Xenopus tropicalis: one gene and its partners. The protein of the gene in region 1 interacts with the protein of each later gene in a pairwise test. Links are inferred from orthologs where the notes say so. Each region holds a gene or a part of one and is shown on either strand. Other genes may lie near its edges. The genes, in order: clk2, ythdc1 and ece1.

Region 1 (7,174 bases):
GGTCCAGGGGATATATGCCCGGCTCTGTGCCGTGGGTACTGGGGATATATGCCCGGCTCTGTGCCGTGGGTACCGGGGATATACGCCCGGCTCTGTGCCGTGGGTACCGGGGATATATGCCCCTCTCTGTGCCGTGGGTACCGGGGATATACGCCCGGCTCTGTGCCTTGGGTATCGGGGATATACGCCCGGCTCTGTGCCGTGGGTATCGGGGATATACGCCCGGCTCTGTGCCTTGGGTCCAGGGGATATACGCCCGGCTCTGTGCCGTGGGTACTGGGGATATATGCCCGGCTCTGTGCCGTGGGTACCGGGGATATACGCCCGGCTCTGTGCCGTGGGTACCGGGGATATACGCCCGGCTCTGTGCCGTGGGTACCGGGGATATATGCCCGGCTCTGCGCCGTGGGTACCGGGGATATATGCCCGGCTCTGTACTGTGGATACTGGGGATATATGCCCGGCTCTGTACTGTGGATACTGGGGATATATGCCCGGCTCTGTACTGTGGATACTGGGGATATATGCCCGGCTCTGTACTGTGGGTACTGGGGAAATACGCCCGGCTCTGAAACAACATAGTAACATAGCAAGTTGGGTTGAAAAAAGACATACGTCCATCACGTTCAACCATAATGCCTATATATAACCTGCCTAACTGCTAGTTGATCCAGAGGAAGGCAAAACCCCATCTGGACCCTGTCTAACTCAATAATGTCCCGTTTGAGCACTGGAGACCAAAACTTAACAGCATATTCTAGATGGGGCCTTACCAGCGCTCTGTAAAGGGGAAGAATAACCCCCTCCTCCCGTGAATCTATACCCCTTTTAATACAGCTCAATACCCTGTTTGCCCTTGCAGCTGCTGCCTGGCATTGCTTGCTACAGCCAAGTTTATTATCTACAAGCACTCCAAGCTCCTTCTCCATTATGGATTTGCCCAGTGCAGTCCCATTAAGGGTATAAGTGGGGGCATATTTTTACATCCCAGGTGCATGACCTTACATTTATCCACATTAAATCTGCCACTTAGCTGCCCAGATTGCCAGTTGCCCAGACCCTGCTGCAAGGTGCCACATCGTGGGTAGAACTGACTGGGCTGCAGAGTTTTGTGCCATCTGCAAACACTGATACATTACCCATAATACCCTCCCCTAAGTCATTTATGAACAAATTAAACAAAAGTGGACCCAGTACAGAACCCTGAGGGACCCCACTGAGAACCTTATTCCAAGTAGAGAATGTACCATTAACAACCACCCTCTGTACCCGATCCTGTAGCCAGTTTTCTATCCATGTGCAAACGGCTTCACTAAGACCAATAGACCTTAGCTTAGAAAGCAGTCGTTTGTGGGGAACGGTATCAAATGCTTTGGCAAAATCCAAATAGATTATATCTACTGCCCCCCCCCCCCCTACTGTCCAAATACTGCCCCCCCACTGTCCGACTACTTCATCCCCAATGTCCAGCTTCTTACCTCATCATAAAAAGCAGATTGGTCTGACATGACCTGTCCTTCATAAAGCCATGCTGCTTCCTACCCATAATGCCATTCTCCAGTACATAATTCTGTATGTGATCCCTTAACAAGCCTTCAAATAACTTGCCCACCACGGATGTCAGACTTACTGGCCTATAATTGCCAGGCTGAGATCTTACTCCCTGTATAAATATAAGAATAACATTCGCCTTCCCCCAATGCATAGGTACCATACCTGATGAAAGCGAGTCTAATAGTTGCATGTATGGAGCAGGCTGACTCAGAGCCCGCTGGGGGCCAGCACCTCTAATACAGGGGGGCAGTAGTGCTGGGAAGGGAAGGCAGGCTATAGTTGTACGGGATTATTAGAAAGGTGGATAGGGGAATTTGGCACAAGGACCCTACGTGCTGAACTGTGTGTTGCCTGCCTGGTGCTAGGGTTCCGCATGTGGGGGAGCGAGTGGGCAAATTATTATGGGGGGCTGGGGAAGACCCGGCGGTTGGGAGGTCCTCAAAAACGATTTTATAAAACTAGGCGATACGTTACTGTGGATATATGCCCAGCTCTTTACCGTGGGTACCGGGGGATATGCGCCGGGCCCTGTACCGGGGGATATGCGCCGGGCCCTGTACCGGGGGAGGATGATGGGAATATGGGGCAGGACATGGGGCAATAATGCTATGAGTTCAGTGCTGAGTATGTGTATAGGAGCTGGGATGGGAGCATATATGGGTTTGAGCTTTGTGCTTGGGAGTGTAACGGGTTGGTTTGGGGGGTATGTGGGAATGTTGGGGGCCAGTGTGTATGATTAGCTCGGGGTGCGTGCTGGGTATATAATGATAGAATATATATTTGGTATGATTAGGGCCCCTCCCTCCCTCACTGTATGTAACCCCAGTAGCATGAAGACTGTAATACGTATATATTTGGGGGGGGGGGACCCCACAGTGTTGTTCCTGTTTTCCTCCCTTTGCATCGATGAAACAAAGCAGAATGTTTTTTCTTTTTTCTTTCCTTTTTTTATTTTTTTGATTTCTGAGTTAGTGTATTTGTATCTTGACCTGTTCCCTTGCAATATCCCTATCGTTATATATTCCTATGTGCCGTATGAATTGGCTGGGAATCTACTGCTCACCCTTCTACCTCAAAACAACCATGTGAATTTCCAAACCAACCCTACCAATGTGCCGCTGGTTTGAAAAATCTGATTGGCTGGCGAATGGTGATGCTTTGGCGGGGATGACGATGTGCTCACAGCGGAGTCGCCAGAGCAGCCGGCGGGCCAAGAGTGTTGAAGACGACGTGGAGGGCCACCTGATCTATCACAGCGGCGACTGGCTACAAGAACGATGTACAGCCAAATCGTAACATAATTTAGCTCTCTAGTTCTAAGACCCCCCCTTCCCCAGAGACGCTGCAGACCTGTCTGTCTTTTGTGTTTATTTTTTTATTTGGTTTTTTTTTTTTTGTTTTACATTTAATTTTAAAGAGAGAAACAAACGCAAAAGCCCTTTCCTCCTCCTTAACTCCTTTATTCTTTGTAAACCTACCACGTACAGTATGTTTATATGGCCAGGCAGCTAGTATATACTTCTCTATCTAGCTATAGGGCAGCGTGTCGGGGGCTCACAGCCTGACCTTGGCACGTGCGCCCGTAGGCAGATTCACTGGCACCGCCGGCAGTGTCCTGCTCCGTATTAATCCCGCCCCCTTTCTGCTTGCCCACGCAGATGAGATTGTGAGCACCCTCGGGGAAGGGACTTTCGGCCGAGTCGTTCAGTGCGTCGATCACAGGAGGTAAGTGCGTGTTTGTGTGTGGCGCCACCCGTCCCTTCGCCACGTGCTCCTGTCATGGCAGACGGTGTCTGAACATTTCATAGATATGGGGCCGAACAGCGGCCAGTAGGGACGTGCAGGTTGGCACGATACCCGCAGGTTAACCCACAGGTAGGGGGTGGGTTCAGGCCGATCTCAGCACATCAATCACGGGTCACTGACGGTGCTCTAATTTATAGGCGCAAGCCCTGCCCCTTTTGTGATGTCATTGCAGGGCGGGACTATAAATACAGGGAGGAAGCCAGTTAGGGGTGGGGGCAAGGATTTCTCGACCCGCAGGGCATAAATAAGTTGGGGGGAGTTACTTTGGGGCCACATATTGACTTGCACAATCCAGCTGTACTCTTAAAGGGGCGGTTCACCTTTAGTATGATATAGAATGGCCAATTCTAAGCAGCTTTTCAATTGGTCTTCATATTTTCTTTCTTCTAATTTTTGCTTTACTCTTCTGATTCTTTTCTGCTTTCAAATGGGGGAGGGTCGCTGACCCCATCTAAAAGTCACATGCTCTGCAAGGCTGCAAATTGTTATTGCAAGTTTTTATTACTCCTCTTTCTGTTCAGGCAGTCTCCTATTCATATTCCAGAGTCTTATTCAAATCAATGCCTGGTTGCTAGGGTAACTTGGACTCCAGCAACCAGATTGCAAAAACTGCAAACTGGAGAGCTCAATAACTCAAAAACTGCAAGACCAATTGCAAATTGTCTCAGAATATCACTCTACATCATATTAAGTTAATTTAAAGGTGAACATTCCCCTTTAAAGAGGTGTTTAACCGTTACACTGACTTTTAGTATGTTATAGAATGCCCTATTCCTAGCAACTTCTCAATTATTTATTTTTTATAGTTTTCAAATTATTTAGCTTCCTCGTCTACATTTCAAATGGGGGTCGCTGACCCCAAGAGCAAAAAACTATTGCTCTGTGAGCTTATAAATGTATTCATTTACTTGCACTATTCAGGCCCTCTTCTATTAATATTCCAGTCATTCGTTAAATCCACTGCTTGGTTGCTGGGGTAAGCAAGACCTTAGTGACAAGATAGCTACTGAAGTTCCAAACTGGAGCAAAAAGCTAAATAACAAACTACAAAACAAAAATTGAAAATCAGTTAGATAAATGTCTACATCATATTAAGAGTTAATTTAAAGGTGAACTACCCCTTTAAGAGCTGTGCATGTGGGGAGCAGAAGGGGGAACTGACCGCGTTGGGCACGTGAGAGCGTTCAGCTGTATTGTGCAGAGGCTGAGACACTGACCATAGAGCGCTTTTATATATTCTTACTGTATGTCTCTCCTCCTTGTGTGGCTTTAGGGGGGGAGCCAGAGTAGCATTAAAAATCATCAAAAATGTGGAGAAATACAAAGAGGCGGCTCGACTGGAGATCAACGTATTGGAAAAAATCAACGAAAAGGATCCGGAGAACAAACAGTAAGTCCCCGGGTGTGCGTCTGTCCCCCCTGGGCAGAACCCGTGTGAGTTGGGGGGTGGGGAGGCTTATCCAATTGAAACCCTGACGTACCCCGGTTCCTCCCCAGCCTGTGCGTGCAGATGTACGATTGGTTCGACTATCATGGACACATGTGCATCTCATTCGAGCTGCTCGGCCTCAGCACGTTCGACTTCCTGAAAGAGAATAACTACTTCCCGTACCCCATCCACCAAGTGCGGCATATGGCCCTGCAGGTGTGCCAGGCTGTGAAATGTAAGTGCCCCGCGGGGGGAAGATGGTATTATATTAGAGTGGCCCAGGCGGGTTGGCATTAGGGGCATGCTGGGCATACACGGGAGCAGGTTTGGGCACCAGGGGCAAGCTGGGCATACACGGGAGCAGGTTTGGGCACCAGGGGCAAGCTGGGCATACACGGGAGCAGGTTTGGGCACCAGGGGCAAGCTGGGCATACACGGGAGCAGGTTTGGGCACCAGGGGCAAGCTGGGCATACACGGGAGCAGGCTTTGGGCACCAGGGGCAAGCTGGGCATACACGGGAGCAGGTTTGGGCACCCGGGGCAAGCTGGGCATACACGGGAGCAGGCTGGGCACCCGGGGCAAGCTGGGCATACACGGGAGCAGGCTTGGGCACCGGGGCAAGCTGGCATACACGGGAGCAGGCTTGGGCACCCGGGGCAAAGCTGGGCATACACGGGAGCAGGCTTGGGCACCCGGGGAAGCTGGGCATACACGGAGCAGGCTTGGGCACCCGGGGCAAGCTGGGCATACACGGGAGCAGGGTTTGGGCACCCGGGGCAAGCTGGGCATACACGGGAGCAGGTTTGGGCACCCGGGGCAAGCTGGGCATACACGGGAGCAGGTTTGGGCACCCGGCGGCAAGCTGGGCATACACGGGAGCAGGTTTGGGCACCCGGGGCAAGCTGGGCATACACGGGAGCAGGTTTGGGCACCCGGGGCAAGCTGGGCATACACGGGAGCAGGTTTGGGCACCCGGGGCAAGCTGGGCATACACGGGAGCAGGTTTGGGCACCCGGGGCAAGCTGGGCATACACGGGAGCAGGTTTGGGCACCCGGGGCAAGCTGGGCATACACGGGAGCAGGTTTGGGCAAGCTGGGCATACACGGGAGCAGGTTTGGGCACCGGGGGCAAGCTGGGCATACACGGGAGCAGGTTTGGGCACCGGGAGACTGTTCCTCACTCGGATCTTCCCTTCCAGTTCTGCACGACAACAAACTGACCCATACAGACCTCAAGCCAGAAAATATCTTATTCGTCAGTTCTGACTATGAGCTTACGTACAACATGGAGAAGGTGAGTAGCCCCTCCCACCCTATCATTAGTACCCGCCCCGTATCGGGCTGCCGGCCGCTGTCTAACAACCCTTCCCTCTCCCCCCCCCGGAACTGCGCAAAGAAGCGCGACGAGCGGTGCGTCAAGAACACTGACATCAGGGTGGTGGACTTTGGCAGCGCCACGTTTGATCACGAGCATCACAGCACCATCGTCTCCACGCGGCACTACCGGGCGCCCGAGGTTATACTGGGTAAGGCTTCCAGCTGCCACCTACCTACCCCCCTGCATCTCATTGGCTGTGCTCTCTCTAACATGCTTGTCTCTTGCAGAGCTGGGCTGGAACCAACCGTGTGACGTGTGGAGCGTGGGGTGCATTATATTCGAGTACTACGTGGGCTTCACCCTCTTTCAGGTGAGTCACATAGACGTTCCCCGTTGTGGGGGGGGGGAGCAGTTAAGTTACTAGGAGCCCCCCATCAGACCTGATGCCTAATGTTGGGGGGCTTGTGTTGACTCCCCGTTCTTCTATGCGCCAAACCCCTGCTTCTGTTCCCCCGCAGACCCACGATAACCGAGAGCATTTAGCCATGATGGAGAGGATTCTGGGGCCCGTCCCATCGCGCATGGTTAGGAAAACCAGGTGAGCAAACTCTTCTTCCTCCTCCCAACCCCTCTCTCGTCTGTACTCAGGGGTGATTGTGCCCCAGGGAGGGGTATTTCTCTGCCTAAGCCCCCCCTATCGCTTCTCTGCCCCCACAGGAAGCAGAAGTATTTCTACCACGGGCGCCTAGACTGGGATGATAACACGTCCGCGGGCCGATACGTCCGAGAGAACTGCAAGCCCCTAAGGGTAAGCTCTGCCTGGCTGGGGGGGTCCCCCCTGTATGTGGGGGTACAAGGGGTAACGCTGTATCTATCTTACAGAGGTACATGATGATGGAGACAGAAGAGCACCACCAGCTGTTCAGCCTGATCGAGGGCATGTTGGAATACGAGCCCTCCAAGCGAATGACCCTGGCCGCGGCCCTCAAGCACCCCTTCTTCAGCCCGTTTAAGGGCGAGCCGGCACTTAAGCACTGGGACACTGGCCGGGACATCAGCCGATGAT
Region 2 (6,818 bases), on another chromosome or scaffold:
TTAATTCTTTTGCCCCAAGATTTGGCCATTCTGGCCTATATGGGAAAGATATCCATAACCACTTAGCAGTGCTTCAAGCAAAGTCTCTTCAATAATTTTTGTAGTTAAAGATAGTAGATAAAACAGACAGATATGTGGCAAGCTTGTTAACACTGCTGCAGGGTAAATAAACTATTGGATTATACTTCTGTAAGGCCAGCTTTAGAATTACATTTTATCGGTCATTCATTTCTTCTTCTTTATTACTTAAAGTTTTGTCCTGATTAGAAATTAAATCGGAGAATCTGAGTGCTGGGGTCCTGTCTACCCTAATAAACTAGACAATGGTGTGAATTACCAAAGATAAATAGGAAAGGTTCAGAGTAGGAAGCCAAGCCTCAGAATGATTCTTTGTGGCAGCCTGGCATTACTGACCCTAGAAACCAGACAGATGCAGAAAAGTTAAAACTGATGCAGCAACCAAACCATGTATTACACATGGAAAACAAGTCAAATATTACTGCTATATAGTCAGATGGCCTAATTCAAAAAGTTGCGGCCAACCACCTTTGATTGGAATACTCATGACTCAAAAAGTGGGACAGGAAAAATAAAAATATACATAAACGTTCCTTTTAAAAATTTTAATATTTTATCATATTTATCTACATATTTAATAAGGGTGGGGTGCTGCTGTATTCATTTTAACATCTGTAAAATAAATTCTAAAGCAGTGGTTTCCAAAACTTAAAGTAAGCTTACTGTGATCACTTGAAAATTTATAGGGACCTCTATAAAATCCAATTAGAGGGGTTGCTGCCTAGAAAATTGCATTTTTACATAATCCAATACCTTTAGCCTTGTAAGGCCAGGAAAGTCTGTTGTAAAAAAGATTTGGGTTGAATACTTATTAGCTCTTCAAGATAACCCTGAAAGTACATCTAGGAGGAGATCTTAGGTAATAACCGCTTTGCTGCCCTAGAAGGTCTTGAAACTACAACTGTTATAGCATGGTTTTCATGCAACTGTTAAACTTTATTAGCTGGGAAGGGGGACTGAACAAATTGAATATTTCCTAGTAAAAGGGGATTTAAGAGAAGTAGTGATTCTTTCCTGTTCACTACTTGAAAGCTGGTACAAGGAATTTAAGCTGTTTCTAGCTTTTGACATCTTAAAAAGGTAAACCTTTTATTTCAGCCCTAATTGCTTACAGTTTCAGACTGCACAATTTCCATTAGCAGGTAAAGTTCTTACATGGAGTCAGAAAAACACTATGCATTAATAATCACAGTGGCTTTTATTATAAAACTGCACAAAATAACGCATAATGGTACAAGACTACACAAAATAAGAGGTGCATTTGTAGCAGAGGAAATATCGTAACTGCTAGCATATGGCTTAAAAAAACCACTGCAGTAACAAATTAAATTACATTGTTATCAGCCAGGTACAAAATGATAGCAGGAGAAAACATGGTCAAAATATTTTTTCTAGCACATAGGTTGCTTGCATTCTCCACAAGTCTGCAACTGAGAAAAAGTGAAGAGGTACAAATTTAGATGCAAGTGTTTAAAAAAAATGTAGGCAACAGGCTTTCCAGTATTGCTTTCATCATTGCCAAATAGTACAAGGATAAAAGGGCAGAAGGGTGTCTACAATATGTTCATCAGCCCATAACTTCAGAATTTGCATACTTCATAGCAGCATTATATTCACAGAATCCTCACTAACTACAAAAGGAACAGGGAAATCTGTGAAGGCAGTTAACAAACCACTTCATCAGTGGCCTTTGAAAACAGGGTATATGCAATACGGCCCATGGAGTAACAAACAAAAACGCTGGTATGAAATACCGCTAAGATGAACAATTAACCAAAGACAAGTTTATTTCTTTGCACTAGTATAGGCTTTTTAATTTGCATCTTTTTTTGGCCATTTTAATAAATCTCCATTTCATACACACGTGCGCAACAGAGGTTCAAATGATATAAAATGAGCAGTATTCTCTTTTGCTTAAGCATTCGACAAACTGAACAGAAATGTCACTATTTTGTAAACACGCGTAAGGAGAAAATATGAAGGTAAATTTCAGAGAGGACATAACCAGTGTTGGCCAAGGAATTTATCTCCTGTATCTGCCCCTATCTCCTCTGTCCCCCCTTTCCCTATCACGCATCCTCTCTCTCTCACGATCTCTATCACGATCACGGCCCCTGTCTCGACGGTTGTCTCTGGGACGTTCCCGCTCTCTTTCACGCTCTCTAGGTCGGCTTCTTCTTCCGCTCACCACAGCTTGCGTTCGCCGAAGGAAATCATCCACTCTCATATCATAATCATGCTTTTAGAATTACAAAAATAAAGAAGTTAGATCAACACAGACAAGCAGTATACAATACTAAAAAAGCACATTAGGAAATGGAGCTTATGCTATTCAATCCATTTATAATGCAGCAGGACTCCTCCTCACAAATTGCACGTGCCTCTCCTAGTTCTTACCACGTATCATGCAAATTTAATTTGGACATATGCTGTCTGAAAATCCAAGAAATTCAGCTTCTCTTCACTTCCTCAATTGCTAAAGCACCATGCAAACACAATGCATCGGCAAATTTAAAATATAAAACAGGACACAACATCTGCAATCCAATAGGATCATAGAATGGTTTGTTGAAACCCAGACCCAATCTGGCATACAAATGAATCCAGAAGTTTGGGTAAATCAATTAGGGGACTATGAGGATCATTCAAAATCTTAAACTTGTTTTTCTTCAAGTAGCTCATGGTGGCCAGCATGCAAGTAGGTTTTGCCCTGCCATTTCTTAATGACACTGCTGACAATGGACTTTATGAACTGCAAGTGTATCATTTTTTTTTTCTTTAGTTGTTGCATAGTTGACTGAAAGCCCCCAAAAGTTTACATTGTCAAGGGATTTGGTCAACGGGTCACAGCCAAACTTTACTAAGTTGTTGCTTGACTACAAATCCCAGAATAATGTACCATATAATGAAGGCTGAGGCCTGCTGGGGGCCGTAGTCCAACAATATCAAGGATGTATTCTTAAAGTAATATTGCACAATCAAACTTTTCCTAAATCATTTTAGAAACAGCCAGCCACTGTTTTAAAATGCAAAAAATCCTTAAATGAAAATCTGATCTGTGTAAATTTGACTCCCTGTTCTTTCTTCCTGCAATTGGAGTTGGAAGCATTATGCAGTTTTCCAGCACTGAACAAACCAGTCCTATTACCATGTCTGATTCAAGTGTCATTTAATGAAGGAAAAAAATTACAATTATCTATATGGAAAACAACAAGATGACTACTATAGTGCTGAGAATCAGCACTCATTGGTCAGTTCTCTTGCACTTAAAATGAGGGAGTGTGTTACGGTTGGGTTTACAACCCCCTTTATGCCCAATTAAACTAATTAGTGTCAGACACCTTGCAAAAAGTAAAATCCAAACCTGTACACATGCCATATGTTTTGATGTTTGTGAAATTTAAAAATGTGCATTATCATTTGCAACTATGTTGGTTAACACAAGATTCCTGCAGTCGTTGTTTACTGATCTTCAATTATAAAAATTTAAATATTTCATTTGGCAAGGAGTACCCAAATTATTGCAATCAACTTTACATGCCTACACAGTCAGACAGTAAGGTCAGAACTGCCAGACCAAATTTGGCCACAGCAACAATTTTAATTTTTAATTTTACAATTCTAAGGTAGAGTTGAAGGGTCTTTGCTCTCCAAAACAGTGTGGGCACTTGCAGCAATTCTACAATATCAGAATGAAGTGCGGAGTGCACTTTGCACACTCTCTGATCGTTGTAAATGACTGCTAATCTGTAACTGGTATAGAACTTTTGTTCCAACCAAATATAACAAAAGAACTAGTGTTCTTAGAAACCTAGAAGTATAATTTAATCGTTGCTATTAGTATTTAGAGTTTGAGCTCTACAGGGCTATCAACTTTGGGATTGATTATGCCAAGGCTTCTCAAAAACAAAAGCCTATTGCTCTTACTTACTACCTGCCCATTTTGTTGCTGACTAACAGATGTTAGAAAGCAAAAAAGAGGAAGTAGTGTTCTGGCTTTTAGACACCCACTCACTCCAGCCTTTATAGATGACATTTTTGGCTTACTCTATTAGAAATATTTTGTATTTTGCATAGCCTATTTACCCAGTTTTATTTTTACACTGAACTGTTCCTTTTATTCCTAAAATGGCTAAAAGTTGTTTAAAATCTCACCAGCAGCTAGCCTCTACCATATTTATATCAAACACTGAAAACAAATGCAACATTAAAAAAAAAAAAAATTATAACTGAACTTACAACCCGTTTATCCCGATATCTTGCATCATGTTGAACCGGATGATGACCTGAGAACTGTGGGTGTGCTTGAGGTGGCGGTGCATGATGTTGATAGTATGGATGATGAGGAGCCTGCTCCATTGCCGGATACGGTGGCTTTAAACAAAAAAGAAAAAAAAAAAAAAGTTTTTTTTGAAAATCAGATAATGATAAAGATAAAGAAATAGAAAAATGTATATTGGCGATTATTATTTGTGGGCCAGTTCGCTATTCTGTTGTAAAAGATGAGACCTGATGAAATTAGCCCTTGGTAAATTAGCTTTGCTAGTCTTGCAAAAAATACACAAATGAAGTAATGCAGCAATGTTTTGTAACAGGACCACATTTTCTCATACTCAACGGGGCAAAATTCATTGTTGAACATGAATGCAATGAATAGGGCTTGTGCTGAGCATATCTTTGCCTGTTATTTCTTAACCTAAACAGGACAAACAGGAAAACGGATACTAGCCCATGTTTGGCTCTTGGCAGAAAACTAGATTTCCACTGCACAGATATATTACAGGTTTTGTATACATTCACATACATACATACATACATACACACAAACACACTCTGCATAATGGATTGGACAAAACAGTCAGAAAATTGTTTGCAGCCACCATTTCCCAAAACATTACTTGTGTGTCACATTCTGTGGCTGCAAATAAAAGGATACAATACTCTATAACATGTATATTACTTATTGTATAGCGCTGCAGAATATGTTGGCAATTTATAAAAACATAATATTGTGTGTGGCTCTTCAACATGCTATACTGGACAAATAGAAATAAATGCATGCCATACCTGAACAGTTTTCGCCAGTAAATTCAGATTACCTTGCTTTGAGCTAACAAGACACTGCTGTAGTAGTCCCGCAATCCCAAAATATATGCATACCAAGCCACTAAAGTAACATTTAGTTTAGATAGTGAGCAAGTAAACTATAAAACATGTAAAGTGTGCAATGCACACGTGGATCTATAACTGCATGCATGCATATCTGTACTTCAAAGTTCAAAATAACGAATTTGTTTGTATCATTACACAGGTTACACACATTTGTTATGGGCACAGTCAAAAATGGGAATTTAATTCATGCTCATATCTGGACAACTGACCAAATAGGACAGTAAATAACAAGCTTTCCGCAACTCAATATTGCTACATTTGAAGCTGTCTCTGATCCTTAAAGGAACAGTAACACCAAAAAATGAAAGTGTATAAAAGTAATAAGAATAAAATATACTGCTGCCCTGCACTGGTACAACTGGTGTGTTTGCCCCAGAAATTTATATAAACAAAGCTGCTGTTTAGCCATGGGGGCAGCCATTCAAAGGAGAAAAGGCACAGGCACAAAGGAGATAACAGATAAAACACTATTGTATTCTACAGAACTTATCTGTTATCTGCTATGTAACCTGTGCCGTTTCTCCTTTTTTCCAGCTTGAATGGCTGCCCCCGGGGCTACACAGCAGCTTGTTTATATAAACTATAGTAGTGTTACTGTAGCAAACACACAACTTTTACCAGTGCAGAGCAACAGTACATTATATTTTAATTACTTTAAAAAACTTTATTTTTTGGTGTTACTGTTCCTTTAAATGTCTTTTTCTACTCCTCCCTAGGTATGTCAGTGAAGTCTGTCCAGAACTGAATGAAGAGGGCCCCATTCATGCAGGTCATTGATCCAACTGGCATAATTCAGTCTATTAGCTTAACAGTATGCAATGGAAACTAAAAAGGAAGAGGCATGCAGAGACCTCACTAGTTTGGGCAAGGTCCACTGACACAAGAAGAGTCAGCAACTCTTCAGCTAAGGGGAAGAATCTGAAGCTAAGTGCAGAGAAATACAACACCAAAAGGTACCAAGCAAAATATCTTAAAAAAAAATTGGGAAAAGCTTTTTAATGACATGGGTTTCAATGTTCACAAGACTAATATGAAAATCACAAAAAATATATATAATATATACCAACCATTCCTTGCCATGGTGGAGGTGGGCCCATATTATGAAATTCCCTTACATAATCATTGTAAGACTGAAAGAAGAAAAAAAAACAAAAAAACAAATATTGTGACATTTACCTAACAGATTTGCAATTAAAATGGGTTCAGGCCTGTATAGAAATTTGTACAGGAGGAAGGTTAAGGTGTTTAAGAGCCACGGAAGACAAAAAACATGTTTGAAGGTAGTAATTTATCTTAACATACCCCATTTAAAAATACATCTCTTCGAACACCAGTGAATCTTCTGCAAAAAAAAAAGGAAAGTAAATGAGTAACTTGCTATACTTTAATTACAAACAAATACAGACCATAAGAATTAGAATATTTTACCTGTCTACTTCTTGGTAACGTGGATCCTTGACAAAACCTGTTTAAATTAAAAAAAAAATAAAATGAACAAATGACTGTATATATGTGAATATATATAGTAAATGCACTTGGGTCTTGGGCCTAGTGGGACCAAAGCATCA
Region 3 (8,124 bases), on another chromosome or scaffold:
AACCCTACTCCCAGCACCCCTACTCCCAGCATCCCTACTCCCAGCACCCCTACTCCCTGTATAACGCTGTCGGAACCCCCCATTATCAGAATAACGACCCCCCAATATCCATTCTCACTGGCTGTACTGACTCCTGACACAATGTAGCAGGGAGGCCGATACATTTATAGAGGAAATAATCACTATATTTGCCCTTTACATGACTGTATAACGCTGTCGGACCCCCCATTGACCCAGTTGTTCTCCCATTTGCAGCCCACCCCAACTACCTGGCCCAGTCGGCGGTGCCGCTCCGTATGGAAACCCACGGTGGGGAGGACGTGGCGGTGTTTGCCAAGGGCCCAATGGCGCACCTCCTGCACGGGGTCCATGAACAGAACTATATCCCCCACGTCATGGCCTACGCGGCCTGTATTGGGCAGAACCAGGACCACTGCACGTCTGGCAAAGAGAGTTACGGCGCCAGAACCTCCCTAACGCTGGTGTCGGCCCTACTGCCCCTCCTCTCCCTCCAGCTCTTCTACTAATGGGGCAGAACCCAGTGTAAATGAACTACCTCTGCTTTACTGCCCCGGCCCTGACGGAGAATGGACTCATCCTAGAACCGAGGAGGTTACACTGATGGGGGGCACCCCTCCATCAGCCCTGCCCCCCCTCACCCCCTCCCCTATTCACCCCTCCATCACCCCTGCCCTCCCTCACCCCTCCATCACCCCCCATCACCCCTGCCCCCCTCACCCCTGCCCCTATTCACCCCTCCCACCCCTCCATCACCCCTGCCCCTATTCACCCCTCCATCACCCCTGCCCCCCTCACCCCTCCATCACCCCTGCCCCTATTCACCCCTCCATCACCCCTGCCCCCCTGCCCCCTCACCCCTGCCCCTATTCACCCTCCATCACCCCTGCCCCCTCCCCCCTCACCCCTGCCCCTATTCACCCTCCATCCCCCCTCCACCCCTGCCCCTATTCACCCCTGCCCCTATTCCCCCCTCCATCACCCCTGCCCCTATTCACCCCTGCCCCTATTCACCCCTCCATCACCCCCCTCCCCCTCACCCCTGCCCCTATATCCCCCTCCATCACCCCTGCCCCTATCACCCTGCCCTATCCCCTCCATGCCCCTTCACCCCTCCCCTATTCACCCCCTGCCCCTATTCACCCCTCCATCACCCCTGCCCCCCTTCACCCCTCCTCACCCCTCCATCACCCCTGCCCCCCTCACCCCTGCCCCTATTCACCCCTCCATCACCCCTGCCCCTATTCACCCCTCCATCACCCCTGCCCCTCACCCCTCCCTCACCCCTCCATCACCCCTGCCCCCCTCCATCCTCTGCCCCTATTCACCCCTCCATCACCCCTGCCCCTATTTACCCCTCCATCACCCCTGCCCCCCATCCCTCTGGCACCCTTGCCCCCCCTCACCCCACACATGGGGTGCCCCAGGGTCTCTGTGCCCCAAGCTTACCCCTGCCCCTAAGGCCCAGACTGGAGCAGCAATTTAGTAGGATGAAAAGCCTCCAGGGAAACAGGGGGCGGGGCAGATCCAATTCATGAAAATCATTGGCCAGACGGAGAGGGACAGAGCAGCCAATCAGTGTTCGCTTTAATCTCTCTGTGATGTCAGCGAAATAAACCGGTCCGTATCCAATCAGGATCCGCTCTGATGCATCATCTCTCCCAATGCAGGTCCCTCCCACTTATCTATATTTGCCCCCCCAGGGGTATATTGATAAAGGCCCAGAGTAAATACCCCCTCTCTCTCCTGAGGACTCAGAGTCTTAGATATAAAGACAGAAAACTACAGGGCGACACCTTTTATTGGATTTCTAGACTGCAAGCTCTTGGGACAAGTGAGGCCCCTGTGCCACCTACTGCTGGGGCTCTGTATAAAAGCCCCTACCCTGAAGACTAGGAGGGGGCCTGGCCTCACCAAAGGCTTTCTGGTTTCCACAGGCAGCGGCCCTAGCAACCAGGTAATATTCTGAGTTAAAGACAAACCACAGACTGATAATGACACAATATAATCACAATAAAAGGTTAACTTCCCCTTTAAATGCATGTAATGTAAATTTGTTTCTCTACGAGATTCCCCGGGCCCTCAGCCCAGATACCCCCCCCCCCCCAGCAGAGACTGCCCCATGTTACGTGCCCCGGAGTGGATTGTGCCGGTTGGTTCCCAGCAGTGTAACGAGAAGATCTGGTGACTGCTGCTGTCAAACTACAACTCCCAGCAACCCCAGCAGCAGCGCATGAATGGGCCCATGGAACAGAGGAGGAGCCCTATTTGCCCATAAATAACTTACTAACCAATAGGAACTCCCTGAGCAAACTGTGGGGGAGCCAGGATTGGCTGGCTGGGGGGGGGGGGGTATAATATTAACAGGTGGGGCAGTGCCAGGGCACCGGGGTAAGTCTGTGGGAGGTGCCGGGGCCCTCTCAGCATTTATAGGAACCCGCAGGGATTACTGGGCCAATAGGAATGTTGGGAAGCGGATTGGCCGGGACTCGGGGAGGGACAAGTTCCCCTTTAAATAAAATCTCAGTTTAAAGAGAAAACAACTTATTTATAATGTAAAACCCACAGGTCTGTATTTATGTGCCCCGCCCCTTGCCAGCTCTGTGCCCCGCCCCTGCCAGCTCCGTGTCCCGCCCCTGCCAGCTCCGTGCCCCGCCCCTGCCAGCTCCGTGCCCCGCCCCTGCCAGCTCCGTGCCCCGCCCCTGCCAGCTCCGTGCCCCCCCGTGTCCCTATACTGCCCCCCCAGTCTCCCTATATGCCCCGCCGTGTCCCTATACTGCCCCCGCCAGTCTCCCTATACTGCCCCCCCAGTCTCCCAATACTGCCCCCCAGTCTCCCTATACTGCCCCCCAGTCCCCAATACGCCCCCCAGTCTCCCTATACTGCCCCCCAGTCTCCCAATACTGCCCCCCCATCTCCCTATACTGCCCCCCCGTGTCCCTATACTGCCCCAAGTCTCCCTATACTGCCCCCCCGTGTCCCTATACTTGCCCCCCCAGTCTCCCTATACTGCCCCCCCGTGTCCCTATACTGCCCCCCCAGTCTCCCAATACTGCCCCCCAGTCTCCCTATACTGCCCCCGTGGTCCCTATACTGCCCCCCAGTCTCCCTATACTGCCCCCCGTGTCCCTATACTGCCCTACATCCTATACTGCCCCCCCGTGTCCCTATACTGCCCCCCATCGTCTCCCAATACTGCCCCCTCCAGTCTCCCTATACTGCCCCCCCGTGTCCCTATACTGCCCCCCCCTCCCTATACTGCCCCCCCAGTCTCCAAATACTGCCGCCCCAATCTCCCTATACTGCCCCCCGTGTCCCTATACTGCCCCGCAGTCTCCCAATACTGCCCCCCCGTGTCCCTATACTGCCCCCCCAGTCTCCCAATACTGCCCCCCGTGTCCCTATACTGCCCCCCCAGTCTCCCTATACTGCCCCCCCGGTCCCTATACTGCCCCCATCTCCCTATACTGCCCCCCCAGTCTCCCAATACTGCCCCCCGTGTCCCTATACTGCCCCCCCAGTCTCCCTAACTGCCCCCATCTCCCTATACTGCCCCACCGTGTCCCTATACTGCCCCCCCGTGTCCCTATACTGCCCCCCCAGTCTCCCTATACTGCCCCGTGTCCCTATACTGCCCCCCCCAGTCTCCCTACTGCCCCCCCGTGTCCCTATACTGCCCCCCAGTCTCCCTATACTGGCCCCCCAGTCTCCCTATACTGCCCCCGTGTCCCTATACTGCCCCCCCAGTCTCCCTATACTGCCCCCGTGTCCCTATAACTCCCCCCCAGTCTCCCTATACTGCCCCCCCGTGTCCCTATACTGCCCCCCAGTCTCCCTATACTGCCCCCAGTCTCCCTATACTGCCCCCAGTCTCCCTATACTGCCCCCCAGTCTCCCTATACTGCCCCGCCCGTGTCCCTATACTGCCCCCCCAGTCTCCCTATACTGCCCCCCAGTCTCCCTATACTGCCCCCCCAGTCTCCCAATACTGCCCCCCCAGTCTCCCTATACTGCCCCCTCGTGTCCCTATACTGCCCCCCCAGTCTCCCTATACTGCCCCCCCAGTCTCCCTATCCCCCCCGTGTCCCTATACTGCCCCCACCAGTCTCCCTATACTGCCTCCCCCAGTCTCCCTATACTGCCCCCAGTCTCCCTATACTGCCCCCCCAGTCTCCCAATACTGCCCCCCCAGTCTCCCTATACTGCCCCCCCCAGTCTCCCTATACTGCCCCCCCCAGTCTCCCTATACTGCCCCCCCAGTCTCCCTATACTGCCCCCTCCAGTCTCCCTATACTGCCCCCCCATCTCCCTATACTGCCCCCCCAGTCTCCTATACTGCCCCCCCCAGTCTCCCTATACTGCCCCCCCAGTCTCCCTATACTGCCCCCCCAGTCTCCCTATACTGCCCCCACCCAGTCTCCCTATACTGCCCCCCCAGTCTCCCTATACTGCCCCCCCAGTCTCCCTATACTGCCCCCCCAGTCTCCCTATACTGCCCTCCCCAGTCTCCCTATACTGCCCCCCCAGTCTCCCTATACTGCCCCCCCCAGTCTCCCTATACTGCCCCCCCCAGTCTCCCTATACTGCCCCCCAGTCTCCCTATACCGCCCCCCCAGTCTCCTATACTGCCCCCCCAGTCTCCCTATACCGCCCCCCAGTCTCCCTATAGCCGCATCGCCCCCCCAGTCTCCCTATACTGCCCCCCCAGTCTCCTCATAGGAATGGGCTTAATTAACACTTTGCCCCATAAATGGGAGGAGCCTCATTATCAGTATATATTTGGGCCTATGCACAGTAATGTTCCCTGTACTGGGGGCAGGGGGGGCCCATATCTCCATGGATACCTGTGTCTCTGCCTATCAGGGGAGGCTGCCAGGAGACACTGGGGAGGAAAGAGTTAAACTCACCTGGAGAGAAGTGAGGGGCTCAGCAGCTGCACAGGTACCCCCAAACCCAGCCTCCCTCTGTGAGCAACCCGCCCCTCCCCCTCCCCTCTTTATATGGGTTAGCCGGCCAATCAGCAATCAGCCTCATTAACTCATTCCTTCCCAGAGTCTGACCCACCCCTTTAACTGGGAGCAGCTATATTATTCCCATGATACCGGCCGATACCCCGACCCACCCCTTTAACTGGGAGCAGCTATAATATTCCCATGATACCGGCCGATACCCCGACCCACCCCTTTAACTGGGAGCAGCTATAATATTCCCATGATACCGGCCGATACCCCGACCCACCCCTTTAACTGGGAGCAGCTATAATATTCCCATGATACCGGCCGATACCCCGACCCACCCCTTTAACTGGGAGCAGCTATAATATTCCCATGATACCGGCCGATACCCCGACCCACCCCTTAACTGGGAGCAGCTATAATATTCCCACGTTACCGGCCGATACCACCGACCCACCCCTTTAACTGGGAGCAGCTATAATATTCCCATGATACCGGCCGATACCCCGACCCACCCCTTTAACTGGGAGCAGCTATAATATTCCCATGATACCGGCCGATACCCCGACCACCCCGTTTAACTGGGAGCAGCTATAATATTCCCACGATACCGGCCGATACCCCGACCCACCCCTTTAACTGTGGAACAGCTATAATATTCCCATGATACCGGCCGATACCCCGACCCACCCTTTACTGGGAGCAGCTATATTATTCCCATGATACCGGCCGATACCCCGACCCACCCCTTTAACTGGGAACAGCTATAATATTCCCACGATACCGGCCGATACCCCGACCCACCCCTTTAACTGGGAACAGCTATAATATTCCCACGATACCGGCCGATACCCCGACCCACCCCTTTAACTGGGAGCAGCTATAATATTCCCATGATACCGGCCGATACCCGACCCACCCCTTTAACGGGAGCAGCTATAATATCTCCATGATACCGGCCGATACCCCGACCCAATCCCCTTTAACTGGGAGCAGCTATAATATTCCCACGATACCGGCCGATACCCCACCCACCCCTTTAACTGGGAGCAGCTATAATATTCCCACGATACCGGCCGATACCCCGACCCACCCCTTTAACTGGGAGCAGCTATAATATTCCCACGATACCGGCCGATACCCCGACCCACCCCTTTAACTGGGAGCAGCTATAATATTCCCACGATACCGGCCGATACCCCGACCCACCCTTTAACTGGGAGCAGCTATAATATTCCCACGATACCGCCGATACCCCGACCCACCCCTTTAACTGGGAGCAGCTATAATATTCCCACGATACCGGCCGATACCCCGACCCACCCCTTTAACTGGGAGCAGCTATAATATTCCCATGATACCGGCCGATACCCCGACCCACCCCTTTAACTGGAGCAGCTATAATATTCCCATACCGGCCGATACCCCGACCCACCCCTTTAACTGGGAGCAGCTATAATATTCCCAGGATACCGGGCCGATATCCCGACCCACCCCTTTAACTGGGAGCAGCTATAATATTCCACGATACCGGCCGATACCCCGACCCACCCCTTTAACTGGGAGCAGCTATAATATTCCCACGATACCGGCCGATACCCCGACCCACCCCTTTAACTGGGAGCAGCTATAATATTCCCATGATACCGGCCGATACCCCGACCCACCCCTTTAACTGGGAGCAGCTATAATATTCACAGGATACCGGCCGATACCCCGACCCACCCCTTTAACTGGAGCAGCTATAATATTCCCACGATACCAGGCCGATACCCCGACCCACCCCTTTAACTGGGAGCAGCTATAATATTCCCACGATACCGGCCGATACCCCGACCCACCCCTTTAACTGGGAGCAGCTATAATATTCCCACGATACCGGCCGATACCCCGACCCACCCCTTTAACTGGGAGCAGCTATAATATTCCCATGATACCGGCCGATACCCGACCCACCCCTTTAACTGGGAGCAGCTATAATATTCCCATGATACCGGCCGATACCCCCGACCCACCCCTTTAACTGGGAGCAGCTATAATATTCCCATGATACCGGGCGATACCCCGACCCACCCCTTTAACTGGAGGCAGCTATAATATTCACATGATACCGGCCGATACCCCGACCCACCCCTTTACTGGGAGCAGCTATAATACTTCCGCCACGATACCGCCATACCCGACCCACCCCTTTAACTGGGAGCAGCTATAATATTCACATGATAACCGGCCGATACCCCGACCCACCCCTTTAACTGGGAGCAGCTATAATATTCCCACGATACCGGCCGATACCCCGACCCACCCCTTTAACTGGGAGCAGCTATAATATTCCATGATACCGGCCGATACCCCGACCCACCCCTTTAACTGGGAGCAGCTATAATATTCCCATGATACGGGGCCGATACCCCTACCCACCCCTTTAACTGGGAGCAGCTATAATATTCCCATGATACCGGCCGATACCCCGACCCACCCCTTTAACTGGGAGCAGCTATAATATTCCCACGATACCGGCCGATACCCCGACCCACCCCTTTAACTGGGAGCAGCTATAATATTCCCATGATACCGGCCGATACCCCGACCCACCCCTTTAACTGGGAGCAGCTATAATAATTCCCATATACCGGCCGATACCCCGACCCACCCCTTTAACTGGGAGCAGCTATAATATTCCCACGATACCGGCCGATACCCCTACCCACCCCTTTCAAACTGGGAGCAGCTATAATATTCCCACGATACCGGGCGATACCCCGACCCACCCCTTTAACTGGGAGCAGCTATAATATTCACATGATACCGGCCGATACCCCAACCCACCCCTTTAACTGGGAACAGCTATAATATTCCCATGATACCGGCCGATACCCCGACCCACCCCTTTAACTGGGAGCAGCTATAATATTCCCCATGATACCGCCGATACCCCGACCCACCCCTTTAACTGGGAGCAGCTATAATATTCACATGATACGGCCCGATACCCCGACCACCCCTTTAACTGGGAACAGCTATAATATTCCCACGATACTGGCCGATACCCCGACCCACCCCTTTAACTGGGAGCAGCTATAATATTCCCATGATACCGGCCGATACCCCGACCCACCTTTAACCTGGGAGCAGCTATAATATTCCCCAG

The links.
Region 2: the proteins of clk2 (region 1) and ythdc1 interact in binary tests that used the Homo sapiens proteins (3 or more experiments, as listed by UniProt). The two-hybrid records come from large-scale screens. The link is inferred for Xenopus tropicalis from reciprocal best matches to the Homo sapiens genes CLK2 and YTHDC1.
Region 3: the proteins of clk2 (region 1) and ece1 interact in binary tests that used the Homo sapiens proteins (3 or more experiments, as listed by UniProt). The two-hybrid records come from large-scale screens. The link is inferred for Xenopus tropicalis from reciprocal best matches to the Homo sapiens genes CLK2 and ECE1.

Annotation. Positions count from the first base shown.
Region 1 is NC_030684.2:146,287,170-146,294,343, reverse strand, and holds part of clk2 (dual specificity protein kinase CLK2), read left to right. Parts: intron 1-2,739; coding exon 2,740-2,833; intron 2,834-3,212; coding exon 3,213-3,279; intron 3,280-4,633; coding exon 4,634-4,750; intron 4,751-4,857; coding exon 4,858-5,024; intron 5,025-5,989; coding exon 5,990-6,084; intron 6,085-6,186; coding exon of another isoform or gene 6,187-6,189; coding exon 6,190-6,316; intron 6,317-6,395; coding exon 6,396-6,478; intron 6,479-6,626; coding exon 6,627-6,706; intron 6,707-6,825; coding exon 6,826-6,916; intron 6,917-6,990; coding exon 6,991-7,173; 3' UTR 7,174-7,174. UniProt on the Homo sapiens protein: Dual specificity kinase acting on both serine/threonine and tyrosine-containing substrates. Phosphorylates serine- and arginine-rich (SR) proteins of the spliceosomal complex.
Region 2 is NC_030677.2:82,570,467-82,577,284, forward strand, and holds the end of ythdc1 (YTH domain-containing protein 1), read right to left. Parts: intron 6,716-6,818; coding exon 6,679-6,715; intron 6,593-6,678; coding exon 6,553-6,592; intron 6,381-6,552; coding exon 6,318-6,380; intron 4,453-6,317; coding exon 4,318-4,452; intron 2,318-4,317; coding exon 2,102-2,317; 3' UTR 1,258-2,101; downstream 1-1,257. UniProt on the Homo sapiens protein: Regulator of alternative splicing that specifically recognizes and binds N6-methyladenosine (m6A)-containing RNAs.
Region 3 is NC_030683.2:132,700,327-132,708,450, reverse strand, and holds the start of ece1 (endothelin-converting enzyme 1), read right to left. Parts: upstream 4,999-8,124; 5' UTR 4,926-4,998; intron 605-4,925; exon of another isoform or gene 528-604; coding exon of another isoform or gene 256-527; intron 1-255. Other genes in the region: alpl (alkaline phosphatase, tissue-nonspecific isozyme), read left to right, coding at 256-527. UniProt on the Homo sapiens protein: Converts big endothelin-1 to endothelin-1.